Sus scrofa: one gene and its partners. The protein of the gene in region 6 interacts with the protein of the main gene of each other region in a pairwise test. Links are inferred from orthologs where the notes say so. Each region holds a gene or a part of one and is shown on either strand. Other genes may lie near its edges. The genes, in order: SEMA4C, SUV39H2, FBXL18, MAB21L2, ARID5A, PNMA1 and TEAD4.

Region 1 (3,607 bases), on a different chromosome or scaffold from region 6:
GGTGTGCAGGGGTGGCAGAGGGGAAAATTTCCTCTTTCAGGTACTTACATTCAAGATTGGCATTCCCAGTGGATAAGCAATGAGATCCTGCTGTATAGTACAGGGGACTATATCCAATCACTTGTGATGAAACATGATGGAGGATAATGTGAGAAAAAGAATGTGTGTGGTGAGGAGGGAGAGACTGGATAACTTTGCTGTACAGTAGAAATTGACAGAACATTGTAGATCAACTATAATAGAAAAAATAAAAATCTTTTAAAAAATACAAAATACGTTAAAAAAAAAACAAACTAGCATTCCCCAAGTGTAGGGCTCGAAGTAATCTCTCCTGCCCCAAGCTGGCTGGGAGCCTCACCCTCGCACAAGCTAGTCCACACAACCTTAAACTGCTTCTAGAAAGTTCCCCTCCTCCCACCCTCACTCCCACTTCCCCCTCCCAGAGTTCTGGGAGGCCAGGCCCCTCCTCCCCTCCTGCCCTGACTTCTCCCTATGGCCAGAAGCCAAGGCTGGCTCCCCAGAGGCTGTGGCCCTGGTCTGGTGCCCAGTCTGAGCCACCACTGTGGGAAAACACTGGAGCCTGGGCTCTCCCTGCTCCAGAGAGGGGCACCAGCAGGAAGGGACCACTGAAGGGGCAGCCACCCCTGGACTGGGCGTGGGGACAGTCCAGCCTCCCTCTTGGCACCCAAGTTTTATTTTTTTTTAATTTTTATTTTAACCTGAATGTCTTATCTCCATGACAGGAACAGTTTCATTATCGCCATTTTATTTGTCAATATAAAAATACTCAAATATTTACAACAAATAAATACGTGGGGACACAATAAGTTACACTGTCAGGAGCCCTCCTCCTAGGGCTGGGAGAGGATACACCCTCCACAGCATGCCCACCCTCTCTCCTCCCCCCTCCCCCCATACCCTTCCCCAGCCCCATCACGGAGGACAAGTAGGAAACACCACAGAACGCCAGGGCCAAGGGGGCGGCCCCTCCCACCCTTCCCCCAAACACACAGGAGGCTCCATCTCCCTCCCCCCACCCTGAAAACATTCACAGCCCTGGGAGCAGGACCCGGCCCACCCCAGAGCCCTGTGCTCCCCCAAAGGGGCACAGCACCCTGCCCCACCCACCCCCATATGTACATGGCTGGCCCGCACGGGGGACAGGTGGGGGTAGGAGAAGCAAAGTGATACAACCCCTTCCCCTTCATAGCTCCAATGACCCACCAGGACCACCCCACACCAAGGGAAGACTCGACAGAAACAGGAGGACTATGTCGCACACGCACACATGCACACACCCACACACACGTATATACACAAGCACACCCATGTCTCCAACTTCTGCCTTGAAACATTTTGGCTGCTGGGGTCCCATGCGTCCGTGATTCACAGCCCCTCACAGAGGAGGAAGGTGCCTTCTGTGAGGCTGGTGCCCTGGTGAGCCACACCAAGTGGCAGTGCCCATGCTGACAGAGCAGGTCCTCATGGCCGGGCGGTGGCAGGCAGGTGCCCGCGCCATGTCCCTGAGGTAGCTGGTGCCTGTGCAAAAGTGGGAGCACACCTCCCGCGCCATCGCCGCCGCTGCTGCGTGGAGGGGTCCCCTCATACTGAGGACTCCTCGGGGTTGGAGTCCGGCAGCGGCTGGCGCTGCTGCAGCTTGCGCCTCAGTTCATCAGCCAGCTCGGGCAGGGGGTGCCCGAGGCCGCCCCGGTCCTCCCCTCCTAGCTGCAAGCGCACATAACCATTGGCATTGGAGTTCCGCCCGCCCCCCAGGTGGAGCCGGGTTGGAGAAGGCAGGGGCTGGCCGGGGATGCCAGGGGGTGGGGACGGTGGCCCCCCACCGGCCTGGCACCGGGCGTGGCCAGGCACGATCTTGAGGGAGCCGTCTGAGTAGTAGTAGCCCACAGGGTCCCAGAGTTTCTCATCTGTCTCGGGCCCGGGCCGGAACGGGGGGCTGGTGGGCTCCTTGGGCAGCTCCAGAGGGTACACCAGGGTCCTCTCTGCAGCCTTGGCACCTTTCTCCAGCTCCTCCCGCAGCCGCCGGCGCAGCGACAGAACCAGCAGCAGCAGCACCAGGCACACAGCGCCCAGGGCCACTACAGCCAGCCATACTAGGCCCAGGTTCTCCAGGGGGGCCCGGGCCTCCAGCGTCACTGACGGGCCTGCCACCACCGCCACCAGGTAGCCTTCAGCAGCCAGCCGTGCCCCCTGCTCCTCGGAGAAGCAGTGGTAGGCCCCGGCGTGGCGGGGCTGGGCAGCCATCACCACCAGGGCCTGCAGCCGGGCGTCATAGAGGAAGGAGCCGGGCTGCTCCGCAGGCAGGTCCCGGCCCCCAAAGGTCCAGCGGGCGTGGGCAAGGTTGGAGGAGAGGCGGCAGGGCAGCACCAGGTCAGTGCCTGCCACCACCGTGATGTTTTTAGGTGTGAGCCTGACTGCAGCGGCAAAGAAAGCAGAGCAGAGAGTGAGTGCAGGAAACTCAGGGCCGGGGTGGGGTGGGGGGAGTGGGGGGCGTGCAGGCACTTCAGCCAAGCCCCCCCACCCCAAGGGGGACTAAAAAGATAGCTCACCTTTCTTACTGCCCCGGAAGTTACAAATACTCGAGGTGTCTGAGACCGTCACGTGCTGGATCAGCAGGGATCTGGTGGGGGAAGCAGAGGCCGTCAGTGTCCTGGCTGCAGCTCCCCCCAGCCCCAGGGCCCAGCAGAGCCCCACGCACCCTGAGTGGCCACCCACGGCCACGCAGCGGCTGGTGTTGACGCTCCAGGCGCAGTAGGGGTCCCGAGCCAGCACGCAGTCAGCACAGGAGCGGTACTTGACGCAGTCGGCCAGGGGCAGCTGCACCAGCTGGGAGCGGGAGCCCGCAAAGAGCAGCTTCTGCTGGAGAAACACAGGAGGGAGGCTGAGCGGGGCAGACACAGCTAGGACCCTTGCTGGGGACACAAGGGCAAAAGTTGCCCCAGGGAGGAGAGGGTGGTGCCCACATCCTGAGGAGGGAAATCTGAGGACCAAGAACAGGCAGAGGGCTTACTGTAAGCCAGCCACAATCCTAAGCACCTTACGGGTGTGACCTTCTTAGAGCAGAATGGCGGACCTGGGAGGCCAAGAAGTGTAATGCACTCACACACACACACACACAAAACTCCAGGAAAGTATAAATAGCGCAGGAAGCACAGTTTCCGCAGGGCCAGTCAGCCTCACAATAGCACCAGCAGAGCATGAGGCCTTTTCCTCTGTTTGAGGGGCGATGGTCAATTCCGTGTGTTTCTTCGACCATGGACTTTCTGCCATTTTTCCGTGTTCTGGGGAACAATTTGAGCCACCAGAGTTGTTGAAAGGCGAGCAGACAGAAGCCCCCCAAGTATGGTAGAAGAGAGCGGAGCATATGGGGAAGCTGCAGCAGCACTTCAGGGTCCAGACTGGCGGGAAAGGGGCCATCACGTCATGAAGCAAGGCAGCCTGAGGCCTGGCCAGTAGGGGCGCCATCAGAGAAGAGGCCATGAGTAGCAGAGGCCTGGTGCAACCCCAAGGGGTCTGAGGGCACTGGGTGCAGGTGCCGAGGACCCGTCCTGGGAACGCAGCCCCGTGGGGACCAGGCCAGATATAGAGC
Region 2 (3,734 bases), on a different chromosome or scaffold from region 6:
TTTGGCCAAGCCAAGTTTAGCTTTATCACACTGAAAAAATTCATATATAAAGGAAGTATCAGTTCAAAATATAGATTACTTCTTAAGAAGGGCTTGTAGGAAATATAAAAATAATTACATCTGGTGGAAGGGAAATGTTAAAACTGCCTGAAATTCAGATGTTAATTATCATGAAAAACATTACCACTAGATGCAGCTGCTCTCAGGGACAATCCTATTTTACTGTGGAGACCAGAGGTACTCAGCATGGACCTCCTAATTCATCTTATCAAGAGGGCCCTTCAAGTGCTCCATTTCCCCTGCCTGGCACTCCAAAAAAACCCTCCTGGTCCCACCGCCTCATCCTTTCAAAGAAGCGTAATAGCCAGGTGTCCCAGAATTTTAGGGAGGACATTTTGGATATTTTTCTTATACAGGATTAAAAAATCTTTAAGAATTACTGGTTCAGACAACCATCCCTCCTAGTGGTCTTGAGTCTTTCAAAATATGAAATCAAGCTGTAATTAAAATTTTTTTACATTTAATTATAGAACTTAAATTTCTGTATATTAAGATCCCAATGTTTTAATGAAAGTAGAAAATAGAGTATAATTCAGTATAACTTATTTGTCTCAAATACAAGAACAATGAGTAGTAAGTAGATAAACAGGAATGACAACATAATAACAAAAATAGAGCTTGTATATTTGCCCAAAATGAATTAACTCTATTTCTCTAAATTCAAGATGTATGGCAAGTTCGATGTTTCATCTTAGTGACTCTTACATTATCAGTTTAACACTTAAACATTGAAGGAGGCATTTGCTATTCACACAGACCTTTTAAGTGTATATATGCTAATCTATAATCCTTTCATATTTGGCATCTAACCACTGAATATGTATATTTCAAATTAGTCTATGTGACCTTGTGTTCCTCTCTTCAGAAACATCAGTAATGCATTTGGCCAATCGTGTGAAACATGAATTGTAAATTAACATAGTGTATAATCTTGATAATGTGAAAAAAGTCCCAAATACTTATTTTTTAAAATGTTAACATTAGAAAAAAAACTACAATCATCTTCAGCTCTATTTCCTGAAAATTCAGTTGAGGTAACCTCTGCAAGTCACAGCTCCACATTTGCACACAGTTCTGGCCCTCTTTTTGGCTGGGCTGTGGTCAATAGAATCTGAAGATATATCTCCAGAACCTGAATACATAGAAAAAGAAATAGAGAAGAAAGAGTTAAGATAATTCAGAATGAGTTTCAAATTTTTTATCAGTTGTTAAGTAAGTGTGAATATTCAGAGACAAATCACTGTGAACTGGACAGGATGGCGTGGGCTAGTAAGAGGTACAGTGTATGTTATTAGCCCATATTTGTGAGAGTAGGTTTGCAAAACTATAAAACTTACACGTTAAATCCAAAATACAAGCGTTCATTTCATAAATTACTTAGGAGCCATAAAGCAAGGTCAGGTAGTAACAATATCTAAAGGGCATCACACTTAGAAAAACAAAGGAAAGAAAACATGTATTGCCACAGTAAAGCAGAGAGAATTAAATGTTCTTATAAAAGCCAAATTCAAGTAGGAATGGAGTAAGTTCATACATGATTTAAATCACATTTTCAATCTTTTGAATATATATCGGTAAACATTCAGAAATGTAGATTTAAAAATTTTTAAATACAAGTAATATTGAGAAAAGATGCTGTAATAAAGAAGCTTCTGTACAGAAGTTCTGAAAAAAGCAGGCAGCAATGCGATGCAGAAGAGCAGCACTCAGCCCAGCATCAGGCAGTCCTGGATTCTAGCGTTAGCCCCGTCAGATTAGCTTTGTGCCCTTGAGCGAAGGCAAACTCTCATAGCCTCATTTTTTTCATTCTTAGTATTAGTTTGGTTCAGATACTTTCAGGTCTTCTATTCTGATTAGACTCTTCACACTGAAACACCACCTAAGAAACTGTACTTGAAAACCATACCTTTCATTTGATAATCAAAAGTGAGCTCTTCTCCAGCATTTATGGTTCTTGTGGAAAATAATGCTATTCGGGGAAGACGGGTATCGAGGTTATCAATGAAAACATTGAACACCTGAAGATTTGGGTCACACTAAAAAGCAACATGAGAACCCATGTAAGTAAAAATAACATAAACGAGCTCTTCTACATGCCATATAAAACCTTTTAATTTCCCAGAGCATTAGTTTAAATTCTACTCAAAAGTAAGTTACTTGTTGTTTAGAGGTCTCTTGGGTATGCACATTTAAAAATACTGTGATCCTTTATAGAAAATTTCAAACATATATAAGACTAGAGAAAATAATATAATAAGTCCACATATATCTCACTATGAAGCTTCAACTGTTACTAACATTTTTGTCAATCTTGATTCACCAGTCCCAACTTTTTTTTTTGAAGCATTTAAATGCAAATATCAGGTAACATTATCACTTCACCTGTAAATATTTTAGTAAGGCATATCTAAGGAACCTAAGTAACTTTTTTTTTTTTTTTAAATCAAATCAGCACTATAGACCTCAAATTGCATACTGCACGGGGGAGTTTCATTTCTTTCTTTCTTTTTTTGGTCTTTCTGTCTTTTTAGGGCTGCACCCACAGCATATGGAGGGTCCCAGGCTAGGGGTCCAATCGCGGTCAGATCTGAGTCGTGCCTGTGACCCACGCCAGAGCTCACAGCAACGCCGGATTCCCAACCCACCAAGCAAGGCCAGGGATGGAACCCGCAACCCCATGGTTCCTAGTTGGATTCCTTTCCACTGCGCCATGACAAGAACTCCTTATTTCTTAAACTTTTGTTTGGAATTACTCTCTATGCTAAGCTCTGGCATATGCAAGAAAGATCCAGTGAATCATGCTAAGAAACCAAAATAATTGTTTAACTGTCCTTGAATAGAATAAATCTATTTTGAGAGAATCTCAATTTTATCATTAAGGAAAAATTAAATGTTTAAGTAAACCAAAAAACAAAGGAGTCAGAAGGTCTCTGACATTTTACTGCTAATCATCAACTAGTTTCTTGTTAAAAAATCCACCAAAAGATTAACATGGTCTACTTCCTTATATGGTCAGCTCTAGAACTTACTAAGACACGTTTTCCCTGTAATCTATGAAATGGAGATAATGTTCTTCTCACAAGCCTAATATATTATCCATCTAGCAAGTAGTAGGTGTCTGGTAACTCCTAACCTCCCTTATTTTTGGAAATAACTTTTATAGAGTATAAGATTCTGGAGTTAAGGATCCAACTGTACTCTAAGTTCTTTTCAAACAGGAATTAAGAAAACTAATTAATAATTTAGAAAAAGAGCCCTAAATACTTCAAAACTCTACAAATGCTTTAATAAAAATGTTAACATTTTTAAAAAAATGTTAACATTTACATTTTAAGAGAATACAAGCAATCTTTAGTTATATATCCTAAAATTTAGCTGTGTTTTCTCCTGTAAGAAACAGAGTTGTGTGTTAATACTTGAACTTTTTGCCTAACTCTTCTGCTTATTAATTTCCTCCTCTATTTGAGGATAATACCTATTTTATTAAGTTGTTAGAAAGTTTAAATGAAGTAACACATGTACAGATTCTTGCAGCAGGCACAGTATTTGGTAGTTACCTTGAATTTTCCTAACACAGCAATAATACTAGGAATTAAAAGAGTCCCTTATATTAAAATACTTTGGAAATAATGAAAGAATATACAATTAAAATTATTCCTCAAGTATGGAAAGCC
Region 3 (3,768 bases), on a different chromosome or scaffold from region 6:
CGGTCTGAGCCCCCCATTCCCGGCAGGCAGGTCCCAGCTCCAATCAGATGTGGTCTCGGCAGCCAGGGCACACAGAGAACCCATTATGGGTGCCGGTCAGGTTCTCGGGCCAGCGCACAAAACCCACTTGTCCCGAGTCCTGCAGCTGACCCCAGCCACAAAGTCACGCTGCCGTCACAGCCCTGCTCCTGGGGAAGCCCTGGGCCACAAGGGCTTCCCCACTCTGCCAGTCGCTACTGAGATGCAGGTTCAATCCCTGGCCCAGTGCAGTGGTTAAGGATCCGGTGTGGCCACAGCCGTGGTGTAGGTGGCATATGTGGCTTGGATTTGAGCCCTGGCCTAGTAACTTACATATGCCACAAAAAAAAAAAAAAAGTACAGCTCCCCTCTCCCCGCCCCCCAAAACAGTGGTAAAGCTGGGTAGAATGCCCAGGTGTGACGCCCACCCCCTCCGCTCTGTAGTTAAGACTGACGTCCCCCTCGTGACCGCCCCAGGGGCCAGGATGACGTGCCGCGCACACCGACCCGTCAGGCGCCCCCGCCCCGAGACTCTCAGCCCCTGGAGGGCGGGTCTGCACCCCGCCTGTCTCGGCAGGCCTGCAAACGCCTGCCGGCGCCCCCTTCCCCACGGCGCCCACAGAGGCGCCCTCACCTGAGGTCCTTCAGCCGCTTGCAGTGCTGCAGCATGTCCGAGAGGGCCGACGTGTAGACCACCTTCCCCATCATGCCCAGGTTGGCCAGTGAGAGGGACTGCAGCTGCTGGCACTGCAGGCCGATGCTGACCAGCCCGGAGCCCGTCAGGATGCTGGGCAGCTGGGCCAGCGTCAGGTGCCTCAGGAAGGCCAGCTGGCCGATGGCAGCCACCTCCGAGTCCCCGACGCTCTGCGCCCGGCTGCAGGGCGGGAGGGAGTTGCGGATGGCGGGCTCGTTGCGTGGCATGGCCGAGGAGAAGTTGGAGCCGATCAGCTCGAGGCGGTCCAGGAAGGGCACGCTCTTCAGCAGCGACCAGAACACGGAGGCCGGCTGGGGGCCCGCCTGCCCGGGGAAGGGGCTGGGGCAGGTCTGCACGCCCACGCGGACCTTCTTGCCGAAGCCGCGGGGCACGGCGTGCATCGCGGGCTGGGCGGGCGCGCGGTCGGCCCGCGGGGCCGAGTCGGCCACGGCGCAGACGGGCAGGGACAGGGAGCGCAGGTGGCGCAGCCGGGCCAGCAGCTGGCAGAGGTGGCGGCCGGGGCCCTCGGGGCTGTGGTGGTGGGCGGCCGACAGGTTGAGGTGCCGCAGGTTGCAGCAGGCGGCCACCAGCGTCTCCAGGATGCCGCTGTCGATGTCGTCCTCCGCCTTGCGGAGCAGGGAGTCGGGCGCCAGGCAGTGCACGCAGCCGCTGAGGTTCAGGCTGGCCAGGCTCCGCAGGTCCCTCCCGCCGTTGAGGACGCGCTGGATCAGGTGGCCGCCCGACAGGGCGCAGCGGCTGAAGCTGAAGTAGAAGGGCCGCCTGAAGGTCATGTGCTGGAGCAGGGCCGAGCCGTTGAGCCAGGACTTGGGCAGCTGCAGGGCGTCCAGCGCCACGTTGCGGGCCATGGACTCCAGGAGGTTCTTGGTGGCCCCGCTCTCGGCGAAGCTGCCGGGCACAGAGATGAGGAAGGCGTGCAGGTTCTCGGGCGTGCGGTCGCTGAGCACGGCCAGGTACAGGCGCACCACCTCCTGGTTGATGTAGCCGGGCGCCAGGCGGGCGTAGAAGACGCGCAGGTGCTGGTAGTGCGGCACGTTGCTCTGGCCCACCATGAGCTGGCCCGACAGGACGGCGCCCTCGCGTGTGCGGTCCAGGATCTCGAAGTAGAGCAGCAGCTTCTCGAGGCTGGTGCAGCAGGGCACCACGCCGTACGAGGGCGTGTACAGCGTCTGCTTGAGCTCCCGCACGCGGCTCAGCGTGGCCTTGCACTCGCTGCTCAGCTGGCTGGCGTCGAAGCCGGGGCTCACGTCGATGGCCAGGGAGCGCAGGTGCTGCAGGGCCGACAGCACCTTGGAGAGGCGCAGGGAGGTCAGGTGGCAGCCCGCCAGGTTCACCTTGACCAGGCCGCGGCAGCGGGCCACGTGCTCGACGGTGGCGCCCGACAGCCAGTAGCAGCCGGCCATGCTGAGCTGCTGCACCTCCCGGCCGATCTCCCGCACGAGCTGCTTCACCTTGTCCTCGCTGGCCTGCGGGCAGGGCGGGAGAGGAGGAGAGGGGCTGAGGCGCCAGCCGCCCCCACCGCCCTCGCTCCCCCGGGGCGTGCCCTCCCCCACGACGGTCAGGGGGCCACCCCGGCCCCTCTCCAGCTAAGGAGGGACACTCGGGGCCAGAACCGGGGCCTCCGCCCCTCCAGCAACCGTCGGGAGCCCCGGGCAGGAGGGGCCGGCAGGAGGGGCAGCCCCTGCGGACAAGTCTGGGGGCTCCTGGAAAGGCGACACACAGTCACCAGGTGACCCAGCAACCCCTCGGCCAGGTGTGCTCCCAGGGGACTGAAAGCGGAGACCGAGACAGACGGTCGCGGCCGCACTGCTCTCACGAACAACCCCGCCACCCGTCCAGGGAGGAAGAGGGGCCCATCCCTGAGTGGAATTCCACTCCCCACGGGCCGGCGCGAAGCTGTGACGCGGCTACGTGACCCTTGAGGACAGGGTGCTCAGTCAGCGCCATCCTCGCTCAGTCAGTCACAGGCCACATGCTGCATGAAACTGCCGGAATAGGCAGCATCAGTGACGGAAAGGAGAACAGAGGTCCCCAGAGGCCGGGGAAAGGGGAATGGGACGGACTGCTCCGTAGCTGCAGGGGGTCTGCTTAGAGGCATAAAGTTTTGCAAAGAGCGAATGTATTTATGGCTCTGGAACTGCACACTGAAAAACGGTCAAGATGGCAGCGCTCCCGCTGTGGCACGACAGCCATCACTGGAAGCGCCGGGACGTGGGTTCCATCCCTGGCCCAGCACACAAGGCTGAGCATCCGGCACTGCCACAGCTACGGCTCGGGTCGCACCTGCAGCTCAGATCTGATCCTTGGCCCAGGAGCTCCATGTGCCTGGGGATGGCGGGGGCGGGGGATGGTTAAGACAGTTAAGCTTCATGTTAAGCGGGTTTTTTCCCCAGTCACACAAAGGAAGCAGGTCCTGGAAGAAGGCTCTGCCTGTTACTTTCCTTTACATGACATGTGCTTTCACAGTGATGAGTGTTCCTCAAAAATCTGGCCCGGGAGTTGCCGCTGTAGCACAGCCGGGACTGATGGTGTCTCTGCAGCGCCAGGACAGATCTTCCACCCCAGCCCACGCAATGAGTTAAGGGTCTGGCACTGCCACAGCTGTAGCAGAGGTCACAACTCCGGCTCGGATTGGATCCCTGACCCGCCCAGGAACTCCATGTATCTTGGGGAAGCCATCCAAAAAAACCACCTGGCCCGGATTGCTTGAGAGCCACGGTATGTCCAGCCGGGGCCCAGCAGCCACCAGGGCCTTTGGAAAACAAAGCATCAAGCATCCGTGTACGTTTCTGATCACTTCTCAGGGCAAATGTCCACCCAGGGAACCGTGCAGGCGAAGGACACGCTCCAAAGAGTCTGTGCTGGGGCGCCTGCCCCGCCCCATCCCATCCAGGAAAGAACCCTTGCGGGCAGAAGCCTGACCCTGCACTTCGGGGAGTAAGCTCAGCCCCCACAGGGGAGGAGCACAGGTCTCTCACAGAAAGAACCAGAGCTCTCAGGGGCCTCATTCCAGGTTGCAGAGGCATCACTTCCCAAAC
Region 4 (4,320 bases), on a different chromosome or scaffold from region 6:
AGAGTGAAGCGGGTGACAAGGTACCAGTGGTCTGCGCTAGATGTGTAAGAAAGAACCGAGAAGTCCAAGTGTTGGGCATCAAGTACCAGATGAAGTAAACTTTCGCTAGGCAACTGAATTCAGGTTCACCTGGTTCAGCCTTAGAGAGCAAGTCAAGCCTTGCCACTGTGTTTGGCAAAAGCCGCCTATGCATACCGGGTTTTGCAAAATGAATTCGCACAACCGGCTTCATAGATTTTTATTGTTACAGCATTATCTGAGAATTTAAGATGCAAAATCTAACTAAAAATATTCCCATATACTCGACTTGTCTTAAAAAAGACTCAGAATCCACACATCTGAGTTCAAACATAAACCTTCAATTCTAAGCAAATCAGAAACACTGCTACAGCTTTTTCAACCATAAGTACCTAAAGGCTACCAAGGGTAGAGCTTGAAAGGATAATACAGATACTAAAAGCACAAGCATGAGTTTCACTGAAATGCCAAGGGAGGAGTGAAGCCATCTGTGTAATCAATAACAGGATAGTTATAGATTTCTGCAGCAGTGAAGTCTTTTAAAAGCAAGAGTCTATAAAGAAAATAAAATGATTTTACAAATGAAACTGTAATGTCTGAAAATATATTCAAAATTAGGTTTACAACATTAACATTTTAAGAAAACTTTAACTCAGGTTCACATTTACTTCCCTTCATTTTTATTACATTTAAAATAATTTTAGTGGCTTAATATAAAAGTATATATTCAACAAAATTCCACCATATATAAATCTGCACCATTTCTCACAACTTAAACATATTCTAATAACGAGTTAGTCCTTGTAACAAAGTAATAACATTAAATATATCTGAATCTTAATTATGAGTAATTATGAAACAAGGTGCCTGCACTACTTTTGCCCTGCCCAGTTTTTCAACAGCATATGGAAATTACTGAAAAGAGATTTATGATTATAAATCCTCACCCCATGTCTACCCCCCCCCAAAACTGGTGCAACAAATACAGCAATTACTCTGGGTCTTGGCAACAATGGGAGAGGATGGGAAAGAAAGGGAGGAAGACTCTGCCAGAGTAAAAAATCTAGAAAAATTTAGGTCCTTTCCCAGATTGCCCTTCCTCCTCCCATTTGCCTTCAAGCCAAAGTAATTTTGTTAGAGTTTGCACCTTCTTCACAATGTTGATAGGAAAAAAAAAGTGAACCTTTCTGAACCACTGCTACTCTCCCAGCCATCTCCAAGAAGTCCCTTCTCTATACTCTTTTTCTTCCTTGCAACTGTTAAGAGAGGAGGATAAAAAGAAGGGGCTGTAAAATGCGTGTGAGCATTCGACTTCTACTATCTCCTCCTATTTTCTTACTTCTCTTTACCCCCTTTCTTTATCAAGTGCAGCGGTGGCTGCTACCGTTTGCCAAGCATGCCTGTCTTCTCTCTCGGATTGGCTAAAGCACTGACAGCTCGGATAGCGATTGTAGGAACTAAAGCTCCACCCCCTTCATGATGGCCCAGGACCATTCATAAACTAAATAACTCCAGGAAACAGCAAGGCAGAAAGAGAGAGAAAGAGACAGAGACAGAGAGAAAGAGAGAGAGAGAGACTCAGAGAGAGAGAGAGAGAGAGAGAGAGAGAGAGAGACTCGGAGAGAGAGGGAGGGAGAGGGAGAGAGATTTGAAGCGAGAGGGAAAGAGACATCAGAGGGGAGGAGGGAGAGACGACTCAGAAAGTGGAATCTGCACAAGCAACCTAAAGGGGGAGGAGAGGAAAAACCCTCGAATCGTTATAACTAAACCCCAGATGCAAAGCAAGCAACGACCTCGTCACACTAAAATAGACTTTGTGAGGGCCAAAATTATAAATTACGAAGCAGAAATGAATATCAACCAACTTCCAGCAGTTTGCACCTAAGACAGACAAGAAGAACCCACTGCAAACAAACCAACCCAGTCCAAACAACGCCTCCAGTAGGAGAAGAGGAAAACCACTACAAGAGGACCCCCTGAGAAGAGACCAGACCCACACGCTGAGAGCGCAGGCGTCTGCGAACCTCCGAACCTCCGTGCCGCGGACGGAGGTGCACTTCACTGCTCTCTGGACATTAATTACACCCTTCACCTTCCATTCGGGGGAGGGTTAGGAGAAAAGCACTCACCTAAGCTGAATGAAGAAGGGCGACCAGCGTGGGGGAGAAGTTTAAGAATGAAACACTGAATGTTTCGCTTTTATTTTTAAATTTACTCTGGCACTTAAAAGACCTGATTTCCAGATTCCCGGGCCATCTCTGATGCAGACGTCTAAGCCTAACCTCTTGGTAACCTGAATTTTTCTCTCTCCCCCTGCCCTTTTCCCTCCTCCCCTTCATCTCTCCCGCAGGCACATCTTTATTTCGCTTATCAAGAGAAAGCAAAAAAGTCTCAGCACGTACTTTTCTTTTTCAAAGATCACCTTTTTTTTTTTCTTCTTATTTTCTCGATAAGAGAAAAGCTTTTGAAAGAGAGCGAGACAGCTGAAGCACCAGCTGGCCAGCCCAGGTGGAAAACAAGAGTGAAAGTGGGGCTTAGTGGGAGCGCAGCGCCTCTTTCGCAAGCCGCAGGGCCACCACCAGCGCTTGAGCCTTGGATCCCTCAACGTACTGCGAGACGCCGGTGTACAGCCCGGACCTGTGCCCCAACATGATCGCCGCCCAGGCCAAGCTGGTCTACCAGCTCAACAAATACTACACGGAGCGCTGCCAGGCGCGCAAGGCGGCCATCGCCAAGACCATCCGGGAGGTCTGTAAGGTGGTCTCGGACGTGCTCAAGGAAGTGGAGGTACAGGAGCCCCGCTTCATCAGCTCCCTGAGCGAGATCGATGCTCGCTACGAGGGGCTGGAGGTCATCTCGCCGACAGAGTTCGAGGTGGTGCTCTACCTAAACCAGATGGGCGTCTTCAACTTCGTGGACGACGGCTCGCTGCCCGGCTGCGCAGTGCTCAAGCTGAGCGATGGGCGGAAGCGGAGCATGTCTCTCTGGGTCGAGTTCATCACAGCGTCCGGCTACCTCTCTGCGCGCAAGATCCGCTCACGCTTCCAGACGCTGGTGGCTCAGGCGGTGGACAAGTGCAGCTACCGGGATGTGGTCAAGATGATCGCGGATACCAGCGAGGTCAAGCTGCGCATCAGGGAGCGCTACGTGGTGCAAATCACTCCTGCGTTCAAGTGCACCGGTATCTGGCCTCGCAGTGCGGCCCAGTGGCCTATGCCCCACATCCCCTGGCCCGGCCCCAATCGGGTGGCGGAGGTCAAGGCCGAAGGGTTCAACTTGCTCTCTAAGGAGTGTTACTCCCTGACCGGCAAGCAGAGCTCTGCGGAGAGCGACGCCTGGGTGCTACAGTTCGGTGAAGCTGAGAACCGCCTGCTGATGGGCGGCTGCCGAAACAAGTGTCTCTCCGTGCTGAAGACGCTTCGGGACCGCCACCTGGAGCTGCCAGGCCAGCCGCTCAATAACTACCACATGAAGACGCTGCTGCTGTACGAGTGCGAGAAGCACCCGAGGGAAACAGACTGGGACGAGGCGTGCCTGGGCGACCGGCTCAACGGCATCCTGCTGCAGCTCATCTCCTGCCTGCAGTGCCGCCGCTGCCCTCACTACTTTCTGCCCAACCTCGACCTTTTCCAGGGCAAGCCCCATTCGGCCCTGGAGAGCGCTGCCAAGCAGACCTGGAGGTTGGCCAGGGAAATTCTTACCAATCCCAAAAGCCTGGATAAACTATAGGGTGCCAGGGACTGCTTGAAAAGCGACACAAACGGGAATGCTCTCAGACACACAACACACACAACTGGGCGACCAACAGCGGAAACTCCAGACACAAACTTTTTTGTGAGCCACCTAAAAGGAAGGAGAACCCAACAGAAGACCCTCCCTAATTAACGAGCGAACAAAAGGAGAGCAAACCAACCAACCAAACAAACAAAATCACATTCTTGCACAAAAGTGATCGTTTTCTTCCGAACAATGTGAATTTAAAAGGTCACACAAAAGAAGCAATCGGGCTTTGCCACCACAAAATGAAACCCAAGGTACATTTTCAAATCAAAGTATTGTAGTTTCTCCCTTTTACTTCTCTCTCTCTTTCTTTCTCTCTGTCTGTCTGTCTTCAATTTGTTTTGGGTTGCCTGAATGTTGTCACCAAGTGAAAAAGTATTTAATTATATGTAAAATTTCTCTTTTAAACAAAACTTTGCTGATGTTAAATGTATCTCAGTGCCAATGTCAGATGTGCCCCTCCCTCTCTCGCACCTCTACCCTCACCTTAAGCAGTCTTGTCGAAAACAGTAATAAAAATAT
Region 5 (3,262 bases), on a different chromosome or scaffold from region 6:
ACGAAAGAGGGCCTTCGGCTACGGGTTTCGGCCTCTGGAGCAACCACATCTGAAAAAAGGCAGATGCCCAGGCCGAGATTCTGGCCCCGTCCCTCCCCCTCCTCTTCCCTCCAGGCGCCCCCCAGTGGGACCCTCCTGTGCCCCTCTCCCGCCATCTGGCAGGCAAGTTGGGGGTAGGGTGGGGAGCTCACCAGGAAGATTCAGCAGCAGCCCCACAAGTGAGGCCACCACCAAGGCAGACTAACTCTGGCTTTCTGCTCCCACCCTCTGCTCCCAGGAGCATTGCTAGCAGCTCCAGGACACCTCCTGCCAGCTGGGTCCTGTGGCTCCACTCAGAGCATTGGAGTCACACCTGAGCGACAGCTCTGCTCTACCACTTAGCTGCCGGGGGGAACCTAGGCAAGTCACAGGTCCCCACTGAGCCCCAGGCCCCTGCCTACGCCATGAGGAAGGTACCAGGCAGTTGTCCTGAGCCTCGACTAGCCAAGCGGTGAAGGGCACAGCCTGCGTCCTGCTCTTCAGTGGGCTGATGACATCCCAGGTTGTCACCCCATTGGGGCCCCACCCATGAACACACCCCACCCCCGCACCTCGCTGCTCTTGTGAAGGTCTGTACCACATACACCTCAGAGCTGCGTGAATCCACAGGCATTTTATTGGATTTTCCATGGGCAGCCTGGACACCTCAAGCTGCTGACCAGCCCCCTGGCCCTTCACCCCACTGCGGGCCTCTGCTCTGGGGCCCTGGCCAGGAGCGGTCGGCCCTGCACTGTCTTCTCCCAAGGCCTTGCAACCATGGGGCCCATGGTCCTCAGGCTCCGGCTGCCTCCTTGAGAGAGAAACTCAGTTTTCCCACTGCCTCTCTTTGTGCCAGGCTGCCCAGCCAGGGCGACATCCCTGCCTTAGGCACAGCCAAGCTCTCCTGAGAAGGGGGCTCCAGCCCAGAGCTTCCGGCAGTGCCTCCCCATCCCGGGCCGCATCGGACCCCGCACTGCATCACAGCACTGCGGGCTCAGGCCTACAGCTTGGTGTTGAGGTGGAAAGAGAAGTGGGGCGCTGCATAGGTTGTGGCAGGTGGGACGTGCCACGCAGACGAGGCCGGACAAAGTCTGTGGCGAAGGGCACTGTCGAAAGATGCTGGGGGGAAGTGCATGAGGCCAGCGGCCATGGGCGAGGGCGCTGTAGTGGCCAGGAGGTGGGCCGGGAAGGCCGGGATGACCAGGGGGCTGAAGGGGAGTGGGGCCTGGCCCTTTAAGGGGTCTGGGGTGCCAGTGAAGTTCAGTGGGCAGCGCAGCATGGTACCTCTGTAGGCCTCTGGGAAGGTGGGCCCTAGGGCTGGGCCCAGCAGGCAGGAGACAGCCAAGCCAGGCCCTACAGACTTGGTCCCACACTCCTTGGCATCCACCTCCTTAAGAAAAGGAGACACTGCCCGCAGTTTTTTGCCACCATGAACCAAGCCCTCTTCCTCCAGGCTGCGCTTGCTGCCCAGGCCTGGGCTGCTTGGGAAGGTGGGCACAGGGCTCTCAGCAGGGACCTTGGTCATGGGGGACACCCAGCAGGCTTTGGGTTTGGGGTAGAGGCTGCCCTTCCTGGAGCCGCCCTTGTGGAATGCAGACGGACGGTTGGCATCCCCACCCCATACCAGCTGGGGCTCCTTGGTCGGCAGCCCTTCCTCTTTGCCAGGGGGCCCCAGTAACACCGCATCTTTAAGACTGGGGAGGAAGTCCCGGGGGTGCTGGCTGATGGGCTTCAGCACCTCAGAAGAGTAGGTGTGGAGGCAGCCGGTGAAGGTGGGGGCAGAGGGGCGAGGCCCCACCTGAGCCTCCTCCCTAAGACTGCCACCAGGGCCCTGCACCCCTTCCGGAGGTGTCAGCTGGTGCCTGGAGTTCTCAGCCAGCCCTCCTGGGCTCTGGGGGCTCTCCAGGGGCTGAACAGTTGAGGGCACCTGGGGCTCCCCACTTGCCCCATGGCGACAGCCCCCCTCCTGGCATTGCAAGGCCTCTGCCTTGCTCACCTGGGCCAGGAGCTTCTTCTTGGCCAGTGGTGACATGATACCATGTGTCCCTTTACAGTAGAAGCTGGACAGGAGCCTCTTGTAGGCCTCAGGGCAGCCGCTGGCACCCACAAAGGGCAGAGAGGGCCCAGGGGCTGGGCCTGGCTGTTCCATGCTGTCCCTGGGGGGCTCCTGGCTGGGAAGCCTTGCTAGGTCGGGGGCGTCTGTTTTGGTCTTTCCTGGTGTCATCTAGAATGAGAAAAGGCCAAGCCTCAGGCCTGGGTCTGAGCCAAGGATCCTGTCCCGGAGACTTGGTGACAGCAGTCCCAAGTGAGTACCCAGGAGCCTCTGTTAGCCCTTCTAGTACCTTTGTGCAGAATTTTCAAAAGGCCATCCCATCCTCTGAATGGACAGCCTGGTGTCAGGACACAGGGACTGGTGAGTGCGGTGCAGACCCGAGCTCAGACCCCACATGTACTTGAGGGCCCTCAAGTAGTAAACAACACACACAGCCACCACAGGGCCCTGCAGCCCCTTGGGGACTGGCCTCGGGGCAGGTCTGGGTGCCGTGAGCGGCAGGGCATGGGAAAACCCGGTATGGCCAGGGGCCCCAGCCAGGCTCAGAGCTCACCTGGTCTACCTGCTTCTCCTCCTTGGCTTTCTTCTGTCTCTCAGTGGCACCATCGTCCCCCTGAGCCTCCTTGGCCATCTTGTACTGCTTCCTGGGCTTGGAGGGGGGCAGTGGCTTGTCATCCTCCCCCTTCAGGTGCCGCACATATGGGAGGACCAGCCTGAGAAGGAGCCAGGCACGTCCACCAGGAGGCCAGGGTTGGCGGGGGGTGCCACACCCTGCCCCGCTCCAAGCCCACCTGGCCTCCTCCCCACCCCCACCATGCACACCCCTGCCCAGCAGCGCACACCACCTACAGCCGTGGGGGCCCCGCCCCCCCTCATCTTGTCCAGGAGGCCTGCTGCCCTTCTCTCCCCAGCCAGGGTCCCACTGGCCCAGCCCTGGGAGGGAAAGGCCCAGGTCCCATAACCTGGGGGCCCAGCCGTACCTCTCGTAGTGGCGGCGCGTGCACGTGGCCGCGCTGGTGCTGCCCGGGCTGCCCCCCAGCTCATCGTACACATTCTTCCAGAGGCGCCGGCCGGTCACCTGCAACAGCGCCAGGTGAGGGCATGGCCCGCGGGCACCCTCTGGCCTCGGGGTCCCCCCACAGCAGGGATGGGGCAAGAACACATTCTTGCAGCTGCTCCAGCAGCAGAGAT
Region 6 (4,376 bases):
ATTTTGCCTTCTAACATTTGTAGAAAATATGCAGAAATTGAATATATTAAAAAGTACTGCAATTTAAACTTAGTATGATATAAAGCTTAAAGTAAAATAATTAAGGTTTGGGGGATTTTTTTAGTGATGGGGGAAATCTTCCTGAAAAAATGAAGATACAGAGCTTAATTACACTGAAAATTTTTATATGTTGCAGAAAAATAAGAGAATTTAAAAAATATTTTTATTAATATACATGTATTTGATAACTTCGAATTTAAAACATTTAGAATCAGCATGAACATGGTAAACTACTCTTCAATGACAAAGATTTGAAATGGGGGAATAGATGCTGTAACTGGTTCCTATTAACCTCCCCATGCATTTTATATCTGCATCTTACACAGTGAAAACTTGATTTACACAGCCCTGTAAGCGCAGTATCGTTCTAACACCCCATTTTGTAGTCTCAGAACACTTTTCAATTAAACTGATCTAGATCTTTAAAGATGTACAGTAAGAAATCTGCACTGTAAAGCTGAATAATACCTTATTCACATTTCTTTCCATTAATATAAACCAGGAACAATTTACGGTAGACACAAAAACTATTCACCACAGTTAAGAGTAAACAGTTGACATTTTTTACTGAACAGTTCTTTTGGTATCCAGGCCCTGCACTCATTATACATCTGAACATGCAATTTCATATTTAATTACCTTGATGGGAAGAGTCACGAGACCACATTTTTCACAACCGATGATGGTGCCATGATGATAGCTTGCAATGAGGACTCACGTCCAAGCCTTTCCCTGGCATTGTAGCTAGCATGACCCACGAGCGCTGCAGCAGATCTGGTGCTCCCCTGCACGATTGTGCTAATGACACATGAATACCCAGGCCGGACTCCCGCCCAAAAACAAAAAACACCGCTTAGTCTTTACTAGCAGGAGACACACCTGTAAGACATCACAGAGACAATGAAAGCAGCCGTGATCTAGGTCTGAACTAACGCCCCCTTTCCTGGGACTCAGAAGTGCCCCTCCAGGCCTAACTGCAGGAGGGCGGCCTCAGCCTCCTCCTCCTCTTCCTTGGCCTCCTCCTCGCGGATCTGCACCAGCAACTGGAAGAGGTTGGGGGCCGGCCCTTCAGCAGCCCCGGTCAGCCACAACTGCCTTCGGATGGCTCCGCTGTGATTGGCCCCGGCAATGACCTGCTCCAGGCGGGCCTGGTTCACGTTATCTTTATCTATGGCCCCCTTCTCAACCACCTTCTGCAGCAGAGGCTCCAGACGAATCACATAAGCAGATAATTTTTCTCCCGGGTTCTGGTATGTGTTCAGAAATCTCACCTGCGCATCCCTAGAGCTCTCGACGCTCCCAAACACCTGCTCCAGCGCCTTCAGGCATTCAGCGGTGGTAATCGCAGGGTTGTTGGTCTTGAGGATGCGGATGACATCAGCGGCAGGGCCTCTAAGGCTCTCCATCAACCGCCGCCTCTTTTCTACATCAGGCACCTGCCACTCCTCTATGACCTCATTAGTGTGCTCCAGCCAGGGATCAAATGCCTCCTCCCCTGGCCCCGGAATGTCCCTTCCCGAGAACAACGTCAGCTTCTTGTACCATATGGACTCAACCAGAGGCTGAATAACATTATCCAAAATATAGTTTAGCATCTCTGCCGGCATTTCGGGGCCTGGGGCCGGAGTGGGGTTCTGAAACCCAAGGACACGGGCAACATCTTGCACGGTCCACCCCTCTCTTGCTAGGAAGAGGTGCAACCTTTCTAAAAATTCAGCATCGGAAGTGGGGGGCTTAAAGACTACTTTCCAGACCCCTCCTTTACCTGGCATCTCCCTGGGGATCGCAGCATAATCGACAGCACCAGTGAGCTCTAACAAGGCTGCTTTGGCATTCTCTTCCCTCCAGAACATTCTCCCAAGCACTCGATAGGGCACCTGGGGCATCGCAGCTTGAAAGGTCTCTTCGATTTCGGTCTCATCACAGTTCACAGGGATCCCCCAGACCAGAAGGGCTCTCTGGGAGTTCACATCCATCCCCCTACACCAATCTTCCAGCAGTGTCATCGCCATTTTCCCAACTATCAAGGGCCCCAATTCTACAAATACAATTAGACTGTGGCTCCCTGTGCTCTAAAACTGAAGACAATAGCAGACGCTCCCACCGCCACCTCCCCCCATATGCCCGAGGGAGTCAATCACGTTTAACAAACGACACCAGTGTCCTGCTCTCCTCTTTTCGCTGCCCCTCAAAGCCAGGCCTCCGCGTTCTCGGAACGAAGCCTCGGGGATGCTCAGTCACATGGCCATCGCCATCTTGTGTCTCCGGTCGGGATCCGCAGGCCGGGTCCTCCACTTACAGGAAGGTGTCGCGTCGGAGCGCAGAGGCGAGGAAAAAAGGCGGGCGGCGAAAGCAGGAGCCGCAGGGCTTGATCGCGGGACGTGGCCGCCTCTTCGCAGCCTGGGCGCCAGGCACTCGCTGCTGCTCCCAGAGGGTGCAAGCTTTCGTTGCCAGAGCGGAGCACGCCTCAGACGAGCTAGGAGCCGCTTCTCCGCAGACAAGAACTAGTACCGCCCCCGGAGGGAAAGACTGTCCTAAGGGAAAGACAGCGGCGGCAGCGAGGCCAACCCGAGAGAGCTTCTTCGTGGGCAAACGTATCCCTCTGGGCGGCGAGGACGCCAAGGACCAAGAACACAGGCAGCAGAGGCGCAGGAAAGACGCGGAAGCCAGGCTAGAGGAGGCGCAGGCGCAGTCGCAGGCAGGCCGCGGCAGCCCCGCACGCAGGCGACCGCGGGCCGAGGTGGGCTGGAGCTGCACAGTTGTACCTCGGTCCCACCCGCAGCCAGCCTAGCCTTTACTGCCGCAGTGGAGGGCGGGGCCGGCCTTCGACCCGCCTCGCCCCGCCCCCCGCGGCCCTGCCCGCGCGACCGTAGCCACGGCAACCACCGACGCGAGACGCCGGAGCTCTAGCGGCCTGCAGGGGCGAATGGTTGCCATGGTGGCAGCTCGGGGCCGCGGGCGTTAATTTCCTTTACCGCGCATTTCCTTTTTCGCATTTTCCAGATTTTTTTTTTTCTTAACAAAGCACTGTGTTTAAAAGATAATATAATTCTGGAGTGGATTTAAGATGATATCCGGCCGTCAAGAAAGACTTGTCTACTCGCGTCGCTCGTTCAGAGGCAATGCTGTATAATACCCTGTACCACCTGACTGCACTCTGCACCCTCTAAATTTTATCCCAGTGAGTTGAGACTTCTTCTTGTCTAAAATGTTGTAAAAAGATCTAGATCTCTATGAATAGTAACCCGGCAAACACTAATGTGTTATTTCCCCTGCCCTGGCATCATGGATAAAACAGGCCTTATGGTTCAAAAATGTCAAGTATCCTTTGGAAGCAAACCAAGGCACACTTACAATCCCAGATGGTGAGATAATAAATCTTTCCCCCAAAGGACACAGAAATCAACTCTGAATTTTTAAAACCTTATTTAATAAAAGGTTTAAAGATACAGAAGAACATTCAAAAGTAAATAAGTTACATAGGTACATTACAATCACATCAGCAAGATTTTCTTTAGTGTGTTAATTTTTTTTTTTATAAAAAGCACACAAAAAATAAAATCTTCCGTCTGGTCTATCACAACTGTACAGCAAAAGAGGTAATATTTATATATATGTACACTATTTTAATATGTAACAGTCTTTTAAAAAAGGGTGCCACAGGCAGCAAACACACAAAAGGCAGTGTCTGATTTTTTCAAAATAAAAGGAATATACTTATTTATATGCTATTAAAATATTTGTACAATAATTACAGACTATCAAGGCTGTTCCTGTGCTCTGTCCCCTCCAACAAGGCCTTTGACTAAGAGACAAATGAGGAAAAGGTGAAACAGCTGCAAATTGTTAGTTAGAGGCAAATATTAATACAGCAAAATATGGGGAGGACATACAATTGTTTTATAAAAATATGCATACTTCCTGTAAACCTAAGGAGTTAGGCTTGCCACTGGTAATAAATACCATCTGAGAAAACTGAGCCCCGGTAAAAACATATTTAAACAGCTGAGGCTTGTGTATGTGTTGTATTCCTCCTTCATCTTAACATCTGGCACATGAGAAGAAAGAGGTTAGGTCATTGAGGCAGTTAAATATAGGGGATCCCTTTAGACATAAGCAGCACACGACCTCTGTGCCAGGGGTGGAAGTGGAGTAGCCAAAGGGATAGGTGTGTACCTTAGCTGTGACAGGGGTTGCTGAAGGCATGGAGGACAGTGTCGAAGCCCTGTCTCCTTGGGTGGCTAAGAGACCTCAGAAATGGTCTAGAACACAGGCACTAGGTTAATCTCATGCCCTTAGCTGAGTGTAGCTGGAGG
Region 7 (4,231 bases), on a different chromosome or scaffold from region 6:
CTGCTTTGACCAAAGCTAGGCTCTCAACCCCAATACCTTTCTATGTGAATATGGATAGAACCATCCACCTGTCACCACTAAGAAAAAGGGACGCATCCGCCCAGATATCCATCAGCTGGGTGAACGGATAAACACCACCGGCTCGTGCGTACAGTGGAAGGTGATTCAGTCTTAAAAAGGAAGGACATCCTGACACCTGAAATGACACGGAGGAACCCTGAGGACATGATGTCAGGTGAAAAAGCCAGCACAAAAGGACAAATACTGTGTGATTCCATGTATATGAGGGCCCTGGAGGAGCTCTAGCCAAAGCGGTAGACTGGATGGCGGGTACCAGGGACTGCGGGAGAGGGACCTAGGGGCCAGTGCTGAGCGGGGACAGAGTTTCAGTTGGAGGGAATGAGAAAGTTCTAGAGACGGGCAGTGGGGATGGCTGCTCAACCACAATGTGAACGTACTTAATGCCACTGAGCTGTACACTTAAGAATGGGTAACAAAGAAACAGTGGGTCCCACTGTGGCACGCGAGGACTGTCTGCTGGCTCTCCAGACCTGCCACCACCGGGGCCTCCCCAACAGGCAGCACCCTCAGCGTTCTCCCCACACCGAGCGCCTCGAACACAATTGTATTTGCCAGGCCATGTGTCCTTTTAAAGCAGGAAGATCAATCCTGCTAGGCGCCTGGGCACTGACCACTGCCCCATCAAGGGACCCTGATTTCTCCAGCCACACCCCCGCCACGACGTCACCGTCACACCTCAGCTCATGACCAACACGCACCCCACTCTCCATCAAGCCGTGGAAGAGCCCAGGCCACCCAGCTCCACGGGAAGAGCCTACCTAAAGCAGGTCCCACCCCTGGCACCCACAGCTGCTCTGCGCACAGCGGCTGCCTCTTCCGTGAAGCTTCCATGGGGACCCAAAGTAAGAAGCAACCACTGGAGCAGGACGTGGTTAGAGCAAGGTGCCAGGGGAGCCCAAACCAGGGCGTGGAGACCCGCAGAAGTGGGGGCCCCGCAGAGCCTCAGCGGAGGGGCTGGTAAAGTCGGATGAGCAGCTGTAACAGGTAACCGAGGAGCAGAGCTGGGGTCTAGCTCGAAAGGACCTTGCTTCCTCCAGCAGGAGAAGGAATCCCTGCCCTTGCAGGGCAGGTGCAGATTAAAGACAAGCAGGTGGGGCTGGCTCCCTAGACCAGTCACAAAGCAGATTTGAGTTTAGTTAATTGAACAGAGTGGAACAGCGCCCGCCGCCCCCAACATTCACATCCATCCAGAACCTCAGAATGTAATCGTATCTGGAAATGATCTTTTTTTTTTTGGCCTTGCCCATGGCATCTGGAAGTTCCTGGGCCAGGGATCAAAGCCACACTACAGCAGTGACCCAAGCTGCTTCAGTGACAACACTGGATCCTTAACCACTAGGCCAGCAGGGAACTCCAGGAAACAGGGTCTTTACAGAATTAACTAGCTAAGATGAGGGCACACTGGATTAAGGGGGGCCTTATATCCAACGACTGGTATCTTAGAAGAGGAGGACACACAAAGACAGACAGACAGGACGGCCATGTGACAACAGAGTCTGAGACCAAAGTGCTACAGCTACAAGCCAAGGACACCAAGGGCCTCCAGCTGCCCCCAGAAGCTGGGAGGGGGCACAGATCAGATCCTCCGGCAGAGCTTCCAAGGGGAGCCAACCCCCAGCACCCTGAGTTCAGACCTTCAACCTTCTGACTCGGGAGAGGATACATGTCTGTCATCTTAAGGCAGCCCTGAAATTCGAGGTGGTTTTTTACAGCAGCCCTAGGAGCTGAGATCAGTCAGCTGATGAGGCATCTGTGCTGGGGGAGGGGCACCCACGTGGGGGTGGGCACTGGCCCAGAGCCATCTCATGGGAAGCAGGGCAAGACCCTCTGTGGACAGGGGCTTCAGCCAGTCAGAGATCCCCACAGCTCCTACCCAGTCCCAGTGTTTCAGGCTGGGGGTCCCAGGGAACTTTCCAATGGCAATGGAAGCCTGAACGGAGCCTCTAAAAGTTGTTCCGTGTTCATTTTGCTTCCCAGATACCCTCTCTTCCATCCCAAAGTCAACACAGCCCAGGCAGACGGCTCGTTCCTTCCCAGGGTCTGCGGGACAAAGTGCCTCTGTGTCCTGCATTGACAATGACGCAGAGGGCGTGTGGAGCCCCAGACCACGCCTTCCCTGATGGCTCTCAGCTAAGGGGCACACTCCTGCAGGGGGGTGGTCCTCACCCCCCCCCAACCCCGGGACACTCTCAACGCCTTGTGTACAGTTACCTGTATGCCCACCCCCACGTACCATGAGAAGGGACTAGATCTGCCCCGCCCCTGCCTGGCACACCAAAGGCCCAGGTATGAATGAGGGAGTGAACCAGGACCGCCTTCCTAAAGGCCTTCACAGCCACAGTGGGAAGCTGGGAGATCAGGCATCTGCCTGGGGGGTGGCTAAAGGGATTTTCCCAGCCTGCCCCGGGGGGATGTTCTAGGCTTTCCCAAGTTCCATCCTCACAGCCACCCAAAGGTGTCTCCCCTGATGCCTCCCAGCCCTTGGGAGCCTAGGACAGAGTAAAGCAGCGTCTGCCAGGACAAGCCCCAAGAGGTCACCTCTTTCCATCACTTGGAGGGAACCGGGTTGCTGTGCCCAGGCTGTTCCTGGGGCTGGACCATGAGCTGGCGGGCCTGCTGCCCAACACTGACAGCCTCCTTACCGTACATCTTGCCCTCATCCGATAGGATGATCTTGCGCCGACCGCAGGGCGGGTAGATGGCCAGGGCCTCCTGGAAGCTCTGCTCGATGTCGGGGCTCCACACGCCCTCTGCGTCATTGTCAATGGGCTTGTCCAAAGCCTGGCTGCCCCCAGAGACGTTGCTCCCCTCGGGGGAGTTGGGAGAGCTCCACTCGTTGGAGGTAATGGTGCCGGCCTTGCCCTCCAAGGCTCCGCTTGGAGGAGCGCCCGTTGGACCTGGGTGGGCAGAAAGCACAGCATTGGTGGATGAACGTGTGGACAAGGGGGTGGGGGAACCCAGGGAGCACCACCCCTGAACCAGGTGCTTCTCCTTTCCTGGTGCTCATGGCCCAGGAGCTCAAGGGGAAAGCCAGGGAATCCCATGGGGCAAAGAGTGAGGTGGGCGGGGCAGGGCGGGGTGGGGAGGGGCTGGTCAAGGGCAGGTCATCTCCCCTCCACAGACCTCAGCTCCCCACCCCATCAAAGGAGCTCAGCAACCAGGCACTGTCTGATTGTGGCTCTAGGAACCCAGATGGGGCTGAGAAGTTAGATGAGGGCCAAGTACCATGGATGTTCTACATTAGACCAAAAAGGGCCAAGAGCATACAAAATACTGTGCTCTGTTGGTGGGAATGTAAAATGGTGTGACCGCTAGGAAAACAGCATGGAGGGCCAACCAAAAAATCAAAGAGAATGACCATAGCACCTAACAATTCCACTTCTGAGTATATACCCAAAAGAACTGGAAGTAGGGTCTCAAAGACACTCATGTTCAAAGCAACATTATTCACCACAGCCAAGGGACAGAAGAACCCAAGTGTCCATGGACAAATGAATGGCTAAATAAAATGTGGTCTCTACGTATAGTGGAGTGTTATTCAGCCTTAAAAATGAAAAAAAAATCTTTTTGTTTGTTTTTTAGGGCCACCCTGCAGCATATGGAAGTTCCCAGGCTAGGGACTGAATCAGAGCTACAGCTGCAGGCCTACACCACAGATACAGCAATGCCAGATCCTAGCCATGTCTGTGACCTATACTGTAGCTTGTGGCAACATCAGATCCTTAACCTGCTGAAAGAAGCCAGGGATCGAACCCACATCCTCATCGACACTAGTTGGACTCTTAACCCACTGAGCCACAACAGGAACTCCATGAATATGCTTTATTTTGTCTTTTGTCTGGCCTCACCCATGGCATATGGAGGTTCCCAGCCTAGGTCAAATCGGAGCTGTTGCTGCCAGCCTACGCCACAGCCACAGCCACGCCGGATCCTTAACCCACTGAGCGAGGCCAGGGATCGAACCTGCAACCTCATGGTTCCTAGTCGGATTCATTTCCACTGTGCCATGACGGGAACTCTGAATATGCTCTTAACATTACTGAACTGCACACTTAAAAATGGTTCGTGGTGCAGTGGTTAACGAATCCGACTAGGAACCATGAGGTTGCGGGTTCGGTCCCTGCCCTTGCTCAGTGGGTTAACGATCTGG

The links.
Region 1: the proteins of PNMA1 (region 6) and SEMA4C interact in binary tests that used the Homo sapiens proteins (3 or more experiments, as listed by UniProt). The two-hybrid records come from large-scale screens. The link is inferred for Sus scrofa from reciprocal best matches to the Homo sapiens genes PNMA1 and SEMA4C.
Region 2: the proteins of PNMA1 (region 6) and SUV39H2 interact in binary tests that used the Homo sapiens proteins (3 or more experiments, as listed by UniProt). The two-hybrid records come from large-scale screens. The link is inferred for Sus scrofa from reciprocal best matches to the Homo sapiens genes PNMA1 and SUV39H2.
Region 3: the proteins of PNMA1 (region 6) and FBXL18 interact in a two-hybrid assay, tested with the Homo sapiens proteins (2 studies listed by BioGRID). The two-hybrid records come from large-scale screens. The link is inferred for Sus scrofa from reciprocal best matches to the Homo sapiens genes PNMA1 and FBXL18.
Region 4: the proteins of PNMA1 (region 6) and MAB21L2 interact in binary tests that used the Homo sapiens proteins (3 or more experiments, as listed by UniProt). The two-hybrid records come from large-scale screens. The link is inferred for Sus scrofa from reciprocal best matches to the Homo sapiens genes PNMA1 and MAB21L2.
Region 5: the proteins of PNMA1 (region 6) and ARID5A interact in binary tests that used the Homo sapiens proteins (3 or more experiments, as listed by UniProt). The two-hybrid records come from large-scale screens. The link is inferred for Sus scrofa from reciprocal best matches to the Homo sapiens genes PNMA1 and ARID5A.
Region 7: the proteins of PNMA1 (region 6) and TEAD4 interact in binary tests that used the Homo sapiens proteins (3 or more experiments, as listed by UniProt). The two-hybrid records come from large-scale screens. The link is inferred for Sus scrofa from reciprocal best matches to the Homo sapiens genes PNMA1 and TEAD4.

Annotation. Positions count from the first base shown.
Region 1 is NC_010445.4:56,757,978-56,761,584, reverse strand, and holds the end of SEMA4C (semaphorin-4C), read right to left. Parts: intron 2,878-3,607; coding exon 2,717-2,877; intron 2,639-2,716; coding exon 2,568-2,638; intron 2,433-2,567; coding exon 1,603-2,432; 3' UTR 750-1,602; downstream 1-749.
Region 2 is NC_010452.4:46,875,946-46,879,679, forward strand, and holds the end of SUV39H2 (histone-lysine N-methyltransferase SUV39H2), read right to left. Parts: intron 2,097-3,734; coding exon 1,967-2,096; intron 1,193-1,966; coding exon 1,086-1,192; 3' UTR 517-1,085; downstream 1-516. UniProt on the Homo sapiens protein: Histone methyltransferase that specifically trimethylates 'Lys-9' of histone H3 using monomethylated H3 'Lys-9' as substrate.
Region 3 is NC_010445.4:4,068,160-4,071,927, forward strand, and holds part of FBXL18 (F-box/LRR-repeat protein 18), read right to left. Parts: intron 2,197-3,768; coding exon 653-2,196; intron 1-652. UniProt on the Homo sapiens protein: Substrate-recognition component of the SCF (SKP1-CUL1-F-box protein)-type E3 ubiquitin ligase complex.
Region 4 is NC_010450.4:78,385,191-78,389,510, reverse strand, and holds the start of MAB21L2 (protein mab-21-like 2), read left to right. Parts: upstream 1-1,502; 5' UTR 1,503-2,667; coding exon 2,668-3,747; 3' UTR 3,748-4,320. UniProt on the Homo sapiens protein: Required for several aspects of embryonic development including normal development of the eye.
Region 5 is NC_010445.4:46,700,997-46,704,258, forward strand, and holds the end of ARID5A (AT-rich interactive domain-containing protein 5A), read right to left. Parts: coding exon 3,052-3,262; intron 2,785-3,051; coding exon 2,625-2,784; intron 2,243-2,624; coding exon 1,019-2,242; 3' UTR 632-1,018; downstream 1-631. UniProt on the Homo sapiens protein: DNA-binding protein that may regulate transcription and act as a repressor by binding to AT-rich stretches in the promoter region of target genes.
Region 6 is NC_010449.5:97,048,946-97,053,321, forward strand, and holds PNMA1 (paraneoplastic antigen Ma1), read right to left. Parts: upstream 2,913-4,376; 5' UTR 2,073-2,912; coding exon 1,011-2,072; 3' UTR 205-1,010; downstream 1-204.
Region 7 is NC_010447.5:67,164,606-67,168,836, forward strand, and holds the start of TEAD4 (transcriptional enhancer factor TEF-3), read right to left. Parts: upstream 2,975-4,231; 5' UTR 2,950-2,974; coding exon 2,724-2,949; intron 1-2,723. UniProt on the Homo sapiens protein: Transcription factor which plays a key role in the Hippo signaling pathway, a pathway involved in organ size control and tumor suppression by restricting proliferation and promoting apoptosis.